Linked DNA regions of Rattus norvegicus. The protein of the gene in region 1 purifies or fractionates together with the protein of each later gene. This does not show direct contact. Links are inferred from orthologs where the notes say so. Each region holds a gene or a part of one and is shown in the gene's direction. Other genes may lie near its edges.

The links. Proteins that work in one complex are often made in the same cells at the same time.
Region 2: the proteins of Ppp6r1 (region 1) and Ankrd44 purify together in Homo sapiens (co-immunoprecipitation; 5 studies listed by BioGRID and IntAct, counting the BioPlex papers as one, with this or other methods). This does not show direct contact. The link is inferred for Rattus norvegicus from reciprocal best matches to the Homo sapiens genes PPP6R1 and ANKRD44.
Region 3: the proteins of Ppp6r1 (region 1) and Ppp6c purify together in Homo sapiens (affinity purification with mass spectrometry; 11 studies listed by BioGRID and IntAct, with this or other methods). This does not show direct contact. The link is inferred for Rattus norvegicus from reciprocal best matches to the Homo sapiens genes PPP6R1 and PPP6C.

The regions. Positions count from the first base shown.
Region 1 is NC_086019.1:78,242,603-78,247,493, forward strand, and holds the end of Ppp6r1 (serine/threonine-protein phosphatase 6 regulatory subunit 1), read left to right. Parts: intron 1-926; coding exon 927-1,060; intron 1,061-1,152; coding exon 1,153-1,285; intron 1,286-1,410; coding exon 1,411-1,481; intron 1,482-1,599; coding exon 1,600-1,681; intron 1,682-2,170; coding exon 2,171-2,281; intron 2,282-2,371; coding exon 2,372-2,434; coding exon of another isoform or gene 2,435-2,438; intron 2,439-2,512; coding exon 2,513-2,516; 3' UTR 2,517-3,758; downstream 3,759-4,891. Other genes in the region: lysoplasmalogenase TMEM86B, read left to right, coding at 4,757-4,891. UniProt on the Homo sapiens protein: Regulatory subunit of protein phosphatase 6 (PP6). May function as a scaffolding PP6 subunit. Involved in the PP6-mediated dephosphorylation of NFKBIE opposing its degradation in response to TNF-alpha.
Region 2 is NC_086027.1:63,743,941-63,747,440, reverse strand, and holds part of Ankrd44 (serine/threonine-protein phosphatase 6 regulatory ankyrin repeat subunit B), read left to right. Parts: intron 1-825; coding exon 826-1,038; intron 1,039-3,500. UniProt on the Homo sapiens protein: Putative regulatory subunit of protein phosphatase 6 (PP6) that may be involved in the recognition of phosphoprotein substrates.
Region 3 is NC_086021.1:43,340,808-43,344,307, reverse strand, and holds the end of Ppp6c (serine/threonine-protein phosphatase 6 catalytic subunit), read left to right. Parts: intron 1-2,129; coding exon 2,130-2,378; 3' UTR 2,379-3,208; downstream 3,209-3,500.

The DNA.
Region 1 (4,891 bases):
TCTTTTTTTTTTTTTTTTTTTGTTTTGATTCATTTTTATTAGATTCCTCATTGTACCCAGGTGTGATAGAACTGCCTTTCAGAGTTTAGCACAGCTAGTATTAGTTGTTTTTGTTTTTGTTTTTTAAGATTTATTTATTATATTAGTACACTGTGGCTGCCTTCAGACACAACGAAAGAGGGCATCAGATTTCATTACAGATGATTGTGAGCCACCATGTGGTTGCTGGGAATTGAACTCAGGACCTGTGGAAGAGCAGTCAGTGCTCTTAACCACTGAGCCATCTCTCCAGCCACTAGTATTAGTTTTTAAAGAAACCCCTTTGTCTGTCTCTCTCTTTTTTTCCCCCCAAGATTTTTGATTTTTGTTTTGTTGAGACATACTGTCATGTAGCCCAGGCTGGCTTGAAGTTGCAGTGTATCTAAGGATAACCTTGAACTTCTTGGTCATCCTGAGTGCTGAGATTATAGGGTGCACCACCACACCGTATATGTTTTTTGTGTTCTTTCATATATTCTTCCTTTCTTTACCTTATTCTCATAAGCTCCTCAAAAACTTCATAGAACTGGTTTAAGAAAGTCACTCAGACAATGTCCTAAGTTCCAGATTTTAAACATATCAATGCCATTCTTCTGTATAGTAAGTGGCTGTTCACAGGTGGAAAGGCTTGTGTGATACTGGTGATGGGTGACTTGAAAGTTGGTGCCTCATCTCTTGTGGTTGTAGCTGAGTCTAGTTCTCAAATGACTCAGACTCCACTTGTTGGCTGGCTTCTCCAGCACCCTCATATTCCTGGGTTCCCTGGACCTCTCTGGAGGCCTTTGTTCCCCATATTTTTTTGTTATCTGCTCTGTGGTCCTGGGCTGTGGTTGGGGAAGTGGATCATAGGCTGTCCCTACATGGCCACCTAATGAATTGTCTGGCAGGAGTGGAGGAAGCACAGACAGCGAGGAGGAGGAAGAAGAGGAGGAAGAAGAGGATGAGGATGAGGGGGCTGACCAGGCAGCATGTGGAAGAACCAGCCCTTCCTCCTTCCCCAGCCCTGGCCCTCAGCCTTCTGGTGAGTGTTGGATGGCTTATGCTCAGGTATACATGGAGCTTCTGACTGTTTTGAACTTATCTTTTGTCCATGTTCTCTCACCTCTGCCACAGGCCCAAGTTGGACTGCTACCTTTGACCCAGTGCCTATGGATGCCCCAACAGGCCCCCCAGTTTCCAAGGAGGCAGACATATCCTCTATCCAGATCCTATCCAGCCCTCCAGCCCACGATTCCCCACAGCTCAGGTGTGGATGGACAGGACAGGGCAGGCGGATATTGCTCTGATATTTGGTCTGGAAGGCACTCCTATGTCTCTTAGGCTTGGGAGTTGATGACCTGCATTCTTTCAAGCTCCTCTTTTACCTTCTAGGTCGCAGGACCCCACACACCCCTCAGCACCTCAGGAAGTCACAGATAGCAGCAAAGTAGCAGAGCCCTTGGGTGAGCTAAGCCATACCTTTTCCCTAAGGGCCCTGGACCCTTGTATGAAGACAGCATAGCCATGTCTCAGCTTGCTGGAAGGTGGCAGCTAAGAACTGGCTCATCTCTTTCTCCACAGCCCCCTGCCAGGCCTTGGTTAGTGTTGCAGATGTCCAGGCCACTCTGCATGGGATGCGCTCTGCCCCCAGCTACTTGGACAGGTGATCATTAATTTCCCATCTCAGCTGGAGGTAGGATAGGGGAATCCCAGCCTCCTTGCTGAGGTGGGTGCTAGGCTCTTGTCTCTAGCTGTCCTCAGCACTAAGCTTCGGTGTCCCTGTAGCCATTCATTTTTATAATTAAATGTTTTGGACAATGGCATATATAAGGGCTCTTGTTACCCCAGAGGTAAGAACAGCTTCCAAGAGGATCAGGGACCACAAGAAGCAGGAGGACTGTGCATAGCCCCACAAGCATATTCTGCAGGGGGATAATCACTGGGAGTAGCTGGGTCTAAGGTCTCATTTTCCCCTCGAGGCTCTGCAACCCCACTATGCTCTGCTGTCAGTATGCTAATGGGCTTCTCTGTTCTGAGGTCTCTTTGCTGCCCAGCCCTGCCCTCACCTTAGGCCCCTTACGGAAAGATGGTGGCCTCAGGCAGGCAGGGATATGGGAATATCTAACAGTAGTCAAATTGATCTCTCTCACAGTGCAACCAGAGACCCCTCTACCTCTGTCCCAGACTTCAAGGCCCACCAATCCCCTCAGACAATGGAGGGGAAAAAGAGCCCAGAACATTTGGGGCTTCCCCAAAACCAGAGGTGAGTTAGTCTCTCTGGGTGGTATTGGGTGGATGGAGCAAGACTGGTAAAGCATGAAATAACCTCCAGGTTTCCTTTCTCCCCTAACAGTGCCCAGGCCCTTGAGATGCCCAATGGTTCTACCCCAGGAGGGCCCATTACATCGGGTTCTCAGTGAGTATGGCAATAGCCTGGGGTGGGTCTGCAAGATGGGGTCACTAGACCCTCACTGGTGTTTCTCTCTGTTTCTAGGTAGCTGCCTGGTGGCAGCGGTGGCCAAGTCCTCTGTCCTCCCTGTGGAGTTCCTCAGTGGGGCAGGATGAGTCCTTTGGTGGCCCTCTATTCCATTGTCCCATACCCTGCATTCTCTCCTCTGGACTCCCAGGGAGGCTGGTGCCAGGGAGATGCCCTTACCCACCCCCATTTGCACTGAGAAGAGAAACTATGGAGTTTTTCCTCCAAGAATAAAGATAGAGAGTCACATAGAGAGAAAGGAGAGAGAGAGAGAGAGAGAGAGAGAGAGAGAGAGAGAGAGAGAGAGAGAGAGAGAGAATATTATATATATTATATATATATTATATATATATTATATATATATATATAGAGAGAGAGATAGATATTGAGGGAGGAGTAAGAAAGGAAGCCAGGACAAGAACTGGGCCAGCAGCTCTGAAGCACAACCTCCCTGTCTTTCCCAGTAGGGGTTGGTGCTGGGGTTTGAAGCCGCTGACCTGTGCTCTGGTGCAGATGCTCACATCCAGCCTTTCACTCAGGATCACCGTGGGGTGTAACAGAGGACATCGGGCCCAAATGGCCATGCGTTTGTCTAGACCTTGCACTTTGACCAGTCATCTGGCCTCTGGCCCTGGGGAACACGGCCTCCCTGGCAATAGCCCCAGAGTCCCAGAATGGAGGTTGCTGGATCTCCCATACCCTGAGGGTCCCAGCACTGCTGCCAAGTGGCCTTGTCCCAGCTCCCTCCCCAAGGCTGGTGTGAGTGTGCAAGTATGTGTGCAGAGCTTGTGTTTCATACTGCAAATATAAATAAAGGAAGATAGCAGAAGATTCCTAGTGTGGGCTTTTGAGTTCCTGGGACTCAGAGTTGGGTGAACATGCTCTCCATGGCCTAGAGAGCTACATTCTCTTTGGAACACACTTGTGAGAGTGTGTATGGGTGCAGAGGGATGAAGAATATGTATACACCAGGCAGGAACATCAGGAAAAGGGTACCAGCCTTGTTGAGTTAGCACTTTGGGGCTCTCTCATCTTGATGTGCACTTCCTTAGCCCTGTTCTAAAATGCAGATCAGCTTATGACTGTGTTGAGTTAGCTTATAGCCCCCTTACCTCTATCCTCCTCTAACAGACCTTGGAGCTGACTTTCCTGCCATTGAGGGATAGACGGTAGCAGGTGTGGTGGTGCATATAAGAGTCAGGCTCAGCCTGGTCTACCAAGGACAGCCAGAGCTCAGCAGAGAAACCCTGACTCAAAAACAAAAGTGGGAGAGATTAGGAGACAGGAAACTGCCTTGAGAATGGACACACAATGAAGTATCTCCTGAGGGGATGGTTGAGAAACTTAGTAGTCCCTGGGCATCCAGTAGGTCCCTATCTTCTACATGGGAAGGCTGCAGAGTATACAGTGGCATGATATATTTCCTTCCGGGAAATACATTTGAACGACTTCGAGCATAACACAGGATTTATTTAATCAGCACTGTGACAGGACTCCTCTAGAGTCCTTCCTGTCTCTGTTCTCCAGGGTTGGTTGTGGGGGCACCCCTCTGTGGAACCTTATATTGTCCCTTCTGATTGGCTGGGCATGAGACAATGGGAGCTCCACTTGGGGGGAGGGAACTCACTTTTGCCAACCCATAAGGGAGGTGGTGGCCAGGTTTCTAGGTGCTGGGGAGGAACTGGAGGGTGGAGGGACCCTTGGTTCCTGATGGGCACCTTATCAGCAAGTGCCAGACAGGAATAGGCCTTGCGTGAGCCTTGTTATCAGCCCGAGAGTCCACAGGACACTTGGGTTAATGTGTAACCACAGGGCTTCCCCTCTGCCCTCTGAAGCCACTGGTTCCTAAAGAGAAGTCACTCAACATGGATGCTAGAAAAGAGGGACTGTCCCTGGAGATACTCTTTTCAGACCAAGTGAGAATCTGTATGGTGGGGATGGGGTCAGGTCTGGGAACATGGGCAGCCCTGGGGCCTGTGATTATCTATGCTTGGTGAGTTGGTGGGGATCCCCTGTCCTTCCAGGAGGCTGGGTTTTAAGGTATCATGGTTTTGTCCTTGCAAGAGACGTGAATGTAAAGGTTATCAAGGTGGCTAAAGATTCTAGTCCTGAAAGTTCAGCCTGGACATACTTAGGAATTGGCTTGAAGGTGGTGTGGGGACAGGTGTTTAAATAGGTTCTCACTATGTATCCTAGACCAGTTTTGAATTCAACAGCCTCCTGTTTCTACCTCCTAAGTACTGGAATTAGACATTTCCTACCATGCCTTGCTGTGACCCCTACCCCTGGATTGGGCTGAATGTTGGTAGGCTGAGCAGCTTCCCTCTCCTCAAGTATCCACAGGTCCGCAGGTGGCTGGCCCCCTTCATCGTTGCCTGCTCCCTCTACTTCCTCCTC
Region 2 (3,500 bases), on another chromosome or scaffold:
GACCAGGCTGGCCTCATGCACCGCCACCTCCCGGCTAACATTTATATTTGGTGTAATATGTAATGATCAGTCATTTTAAAGGCCTAGTCAGAATTGCACCTTGGAAGGTGAGGCTCACAGCAGGGGGGAGTAAATGGATGGTGGGGGTTGAGTAAGGAACGGCGATGGTGAGCTTGAACTGTCGGCCAGCCCTCTTCTTCTTCACCTGGGAGCAGTAATGCTCAGGGCGTCTTACCCCTGGAGGAAAGGAGAGTCAAGTGTGGTCTGAAACCAAGATGCTAACATCCAGATCCTTGAGCAGGTCTGGGAAAGAACAGGGAGCCATGGACTATAACACACCTCAGCTCTGCAGGAAGATTCGCTCCTGAGGTGTCAGGCTCCAGCGTGAAGGCAGAATTGATTCTGAGCCTGACTCAAGGGCACAGGGCCCACAAGCCACTGTCTTGCTACCCGTCTTCTCTCTTCATGGTCACAGTTCCCAAGCCCTGAGTTGGGGTTTGTCCTTTACTTCTCTAGCATTGCGAAAGTCTCTTTGCTTTCCACTGTATTTATCCGTCTCCGTCTGGATAAACCCCTCCACAGGCTGAAGCCTCTAATAACCTTGGGCTATGTTTTTTTGGGGGGGGGATCATATTCAATTTTGATTCTTTTTCCCCAGGAGGGCAGGGGGTTGAGGATACAGGCGTTCTCAGGATAACCCATTGGGGAGCAAGTGAGCTCTGAATAATTACATTGATAGGTGGATATTTCTTTTCTCTCGCCTTTGTGGCGAATGGAGTAAATTGGCTTCAGTGATTTTAATTTCCCTTGTTGGGTGCTTTGCAGATTGATGAAATCAATGTCTATGGAAACACAGCACTTCACATTGCCTGCTACAATGGCCAGGATGCTGTCGTTAATGAGCTGATCGACTACGGCGCTAACGTGAACCAGCCTAACAACAGTGGCTTCACCCCTCTGCACTTTGCAGCGGCGTCTACTCACGGTGCTCTGTGTCTGGAACTGTTAGTCAACAATGGGGCCGATGTGAACATTCAGGTATGACACTCCATCTCTCTGCCTTAAACACCTTTGCACCGAGCCTTTGAGCCAACCTAACTACTGTCAGTTTTGCTGTGTTTTCCTGAATCGGAAGCGCTTCGATTCACGTAGCCTTATCCTGGATGGAAATGCTATGGAAACAGCTAGGTTGCCTCTCTGGGCATGATGGTATCAGCATGTAGGCAGGCACCAAGTCTCCAGTCGTATCTCCTTTGTGGATTAATGAATGCTCCAGGATGAATATCAGGCCTTGAAGGCGCTAACTCAGCCTATATTTTAGTATAGCACAGTTAGCTGAGCGGGGAGAGCTGCTGAGAAGACAGAGGAAGGACTAACTCATGACTGTTCCCAATCCCAGCATGCCCTTCAAATGGTTTTCTTCAGCAAGCTGTTCTTTGGTGAAGGATCATTGACCAGATAGTGGCGAGCACTCCATCAGCCACGGAGTTGCTTAAGGACTGCCCTGCTCTTAGTTTGACAGCAGAGGAAAATCCAAACATGAGATGAGATCCCTGGCCATTACTGATTCACAATACAGGAGATAAAACCCACTCAGGCACTTGAGGCAAAACGTGATGAGTGCCAAGAGAAGAAGAGGAGTAAAACTTTGCGAAGTAGATGACGCACATATTGGCTTGTCTATTGTTTGGGGATTAAAAAAAAGAAAGGAGTTTGTTTTTGAGCAGAGTATTTGAGAGGAGCCACAGAAATAATTCGGGAGAGGGCATTCCCAACAGAGAATAGTGTGCACGAGCCGTGGATAAGAGAAGCTGTGTGCGAATTGGTGACTTTTCCTTCCTGCTTGCATTCGGGACCCTTAGAGCACAGTTTCAGGATCTTCCGTGTCTATGTTGAAAAGTCATGGTTTCAAAAGTTTAATTTCAGGACTAAGTTTAATTCAAGATATTTTAGAACCTCTATTTACCATTAGATATTTTACAGTTTTTCTTACAGTCTCTCTGTTCTGTGGCCATGTTATTTTTAAATTCAAAAGAAAGCATTTTTCATTCTGAGGAGGAAGAAAGGTAGCTACAGCAGACCTACAAATGGGATGGCTTCAAAATAACTGGCAGTTAGTGAAACTGAGGTAGGTAATGAGTCAGGCCGAGGAGTGGGAGGGGCCAATGAGGAGTGGGAGGGGCCACTCAAGGGAGAAGCCTATCGGAGGGAGAATTATCAAAGGTTGGCAAGACAAGGGGTAGGACCTGAAGATGAGGAATGGAATCTTGGAAGGGGCGTGACACTATAGAATGGACACATCTTTGTTCTGAGGCCAGACTGCCTTAACTAAAAATGACCTATGTCTTGTAAAATAAGGGAAATAATAGCATCTTCTTCGTGGGCATGTTGTGAAGATTAAGCACGGTTGTCATACCTAATTGTACAGCTCAGAGCTGTCATACAGTAAGCACTTGATATTGTTCCCATTCACTAAGAGGATGGCAGGAGCTAGAGTGGCATAGGAGGCAAGCTGACTCTTATTTATTTTGTGTGTGGGTACAGTATATGTGCTATAGCACACATGCATGTGGGTGTCAGAGGACAACTTGCAAGGAGTTAGTTCTCTTCTTGTATTATGTGGGTTATGAGAATCGAACTTGAGTACCCTGAGTTGGCAGTGAATACCCTTCCTTACCCACTGAGCCATCTCACAGGTTCTGTGTCTAAGTTTTGAGAAACTCATGTTGAGCCAGGTTGGGGACACAGTGGTAGAAAATGTGATGTTTTAGCATAGAAGGGCAATAAAGATATGAAAAAATAGTTCTTAGATTGCTTCAGTCACATAAAGGTGACAGGAAGGGTTGGTTGCCATCCAAGGAGAGAGTATATAACAGTATGACTGGAGAGGCTGAGGGAAGACTGGAGGAGAAAAAAGACACAGAGCACAGGATGAGAAAGAGTTAGGAAAGGGTAGAAAGAACTGAAGGAGTGTAATATCTTCATGAAGGTCTGAGGCTTGTGGAAAGAGAAAAATAGAACCAATGAATAGTGATTCAGAGCCCCACATTCTATATATGGAGCCCATACAGGGTCTCAGGAAGAGGTGAGAAGGCATTAAAGCAAGGAGGAGACCAAGGAGACACAAGAAGCTCACGAGAGCATTAGTGGGTCTTTAAAACTAAGGAGGATAATGGGCATTAGATAAAAGCAGTATCTTTGTGACCGTCCACTTAGTTAACTCACGAGTTGTCTAATATTCCCCACACCCCACAAAATGCACCCTAGTGCTTTGATGCCCAAACACACCTCCTTCAGCCTGCCTGCCTGCTTCTTCCAATTGGCTGCCCAGTGCTCAAATCAGATAATGGATGTGCCCTGTAGGGGTTATGTGGTCAGCCTGTCTCCTTTCCCATGGACTAGAGGAGCTGGAGAAATGGCTCAGCAGTCAATAGCTCTTGACAGTCTTGCAAAGTACTTGGTTTTGGTTTCTAGTACATAAATCCAGGGGGTTTAAAACC
Region 3 (3,500 bases), on another chromosome or scaffold:
TCATAGCCTAATTTATTAAAATTATGGTTGTTATTGGGTATCAGATTTCTACTGTAGTTGATTGATTTATGCTTCCTGAATAGTTCAATGAGATTATATAATGAAAGTACCTATATTGTTAAGTAACAGGATCACCAAAACAAGATAGGCAACTTGTTTGTTTTAATATACTTAAGATTTTTATTTATTTATTTTATGTAGTAAGTACACTGTGGCTGTCTTCAGACACACCAGAAGAGGGCATCAGATCTCATTACAGATGGTTGTGAGCCACCATGTGGTTGCTGGGATTTGAACTCAGGACCTCTGGAAGAGCAGTTAGTGCTCTTAACCACTGAACCATGAAACATGCATATATTCTGACAGTCTAATTCTGGTTGAATTCAAATTTTATTTTACTTATTTTTTGTTTAAAATATTTTTAAGCTTTGTTTGTTTGTTTGTTTGTTTGTTTGTTTGTTTGTTTTAGACAGGGTTTCACTATGTAACTCTGATTGTCCTGAACTTACTATGTAGACCAGGCTGGCCTCAAACTCATAGAAATCTGCCTGCCTCTACACCCAACCCCAACCCCCAGTGCTGGGATTAAAAGTGTGCACCACTATACATAGTATGATCTTTATTCTTTATTTTATGTGTGTAGATGTTTTGTCTGCATCTATGTGCATGAAATGCCTGAGGAAGCCAGAAGAGAGTTAGAACTCTTAGGACTGGAGTTACAAGTGGTTTTGAGCTACTATGTGGTAGTTGGGAATCAAATCCCTGTCTTCTGGTAAAGTAGCCATTGTTCTTAACCATTAAACCGTCTATCTGGCCTGATTTCAAATTTTAAAGTAATACCACATGAGCTAAGAGAATCCAATATTGTTCTAAGACATGTACTGAATCTTTATGACTGGGTGGAAATGAGAACCATTAGGATGAACAATTAGACAGTAGTAATATAACTTCTTGTTTAAAATTTACAAAATATATTATGATTACAGTCTTTGATTTCTGATCATCTACAGTGCTAGTTGCATGAATACAACAATTTTAAAATTCAGAAACTATTTGCTAAAACTTTAGGGTAAATAAATTACAAATAAGCTATACATAGAAATTCTTACATCTCCTATTTTATAACTAGTTTTATCAAATTATGAACCTAGTTGCTCTATACATATACAAAACAGTGCATACATCAAGAACAGCCAAGTACAAGTATATGGGCAAATAGCATTCACAGATACAGGGATTATGTTCTGTCAAGATATGGTCCAACATAATGGAGTCATAGATCTAGGCACTAGGACCATTGGTTTGTCCTCAGTTATGGAAAGACTTGACCCCGTCTGAACCTTTTTCTCTTTAGGTTGTAAAGAAGGATAATGTCTTTGTGGCATACAGTAAATCCTCATATAAGATTGAAAGTAATGTTATGAGGTTATTAAATAGAAAACTTTTGTTTTATAATTGGTAATAATTATATAATTATTTACCCCTAGAAATTTTTTTTACCTGATACAGTTCTTAACTAGGTGGCACAGGCTGACTTCAAACTCTCAATTCTCTGTAATGTTTATTTGCCTGTTTATGTATATGTGTGTGTGTGTGTGTGTGTGTGTGTGTGTGTGTGTGTGTGTGTACACGAGCACACACACAGGGAGGTCAAGAAGTTATAGGACAACTTGTAGGAGTCAGTTTTCTCCTACCCTGTGGATTCTGGGATCAAATTCTTGTTATTAGCCTTGGTGATAGGTTCTTAGTTACCTCTCTACCAACCTAGCCAATTTTTTATCATCATCATCATCACCACCACTACCACCACCACTACTACTCTTACTACCACTACACTGCTACTATTACTGTGTTGCAGCGGTAGGTTCTAAACTTGTCGATGCGAGCAGTTCTCCTGCCCAGCCTCCCAAGTAGCTGAGAGTAGAGGTGGTAATTACCGTGCCTGCCTCAGAAACTTGTAACTGTGGACCTTGTACTTCAAAACAGACTTGGGCCAAAGTGACTGGAAATTTCGGGGATGATTATAGAGTGGGGTTTAGAATCATGATAACTTTATTTGTGACACTTGCTACTTGGAATGGTTATTAAGCACTTGGGTGAAATACTTACAAAGCTTTTCTAAATTTCAGTTTGTTCATATCAACAACTTAAAACTCATCTGCAGAGCACATCAGCTTGTGCACGAAGGCTATAAGTTTATGTTTGACGAGAAGCTGGTCACAGTGTGGTCTGCTCCTAACTACTGCTATCGCTGTGGAAACATTGCTTCCATCATGGTCTTCAAAGACGTCAACACGAGAGAACCAAAGTTATTCCGAGCAGTTCCAGATTCAGAACGTGTTATTCCTCCCAGAACCACGACGCCGTATTTCCTTTGAGGCCTTTGCCATCCCGCTGGCCACTTTTTGCCCTCTTTTACCCCAACTTTCTTGTACCCTCTACAATATACTTTTTATTGAGCACTTTGCTGCTGAAATGCTGCCTCTTGCCTTTTTTTTTAATTTTAAATTATCTAACTTTATTGTTTGTTATGGTGTCAATAGCAGTGTTTTTCTATCAGTTTTGTCACTCATCCTATCCCCACATGGACTCGTTTGAGAAGACTTGAGAAATGTCTTAATACTCACATTGCTGCATGTAGCTCTTGCTTGTTTGCTGTTCTGGGGAGACAGGAAGCATCTCTTTTTTAAAAAGCCAATTGACAATTACATGGAAATCCTCCTCATTTGTATCAGCTAGCCTTTTGTTTTTGTTTGGTAGGATTTAAGAAATTTCAGCAGCAAAGTTGTCCAGTGGGCAGGATGGACTGCATATGCCTGAGTCATGTACCCTTGTCCAAGCTGTAAACTCCACTGTCCTTTGTTGGATGATAATTTGATGTTTTAAAAGGGTATAAAATAAATTGGTCTAAAGGGCTGCCCTCCTTGTTGTGTTTTTAAATTTTAGTTAAAAACTGCTACAGCTATGACTTTGTACATTAAGATAATTGTACTGATCTTTTTTCAAAAATCTTGTATTTTTTAATAAAATAATCTTAAAACCCAGATAGGTTAAGTGTTAGAAATTTTAAAAAATTTACATTGTTAGCTGAAAGTTACTTTTTCTTTCTTATGTTTTCTTATTTTTTTTTTCTTTTTCTTTGTTGAGTTTTTGACCCTTTGGTTGAGTTAAAAATTTCAATTAAAATTCAATATTTTTTTAAAAAAAATCACTAAATTGTGCCTAAAGAACATAACTGCCATATTAATGTTTTTATTTCTATAGTATTAGAAAACATTTAATACTTATAGCATTAATGTGTTGATTTGATACCAATTGAGTAGAATGTGCTCAGTCCAGTTTACACTCTGTCATGAGTATCATCAAGTAAACACATGTACTTTTCAATAGCAAGCATTCTCTCGCTGTAACCTTTGACCTTAACTTTTACAAAGTATTCAGTTTTTAACTGCAATTTTAAAGGCTGAACAATCAGAACCCTTGTGTTTGTGAACTGTAAT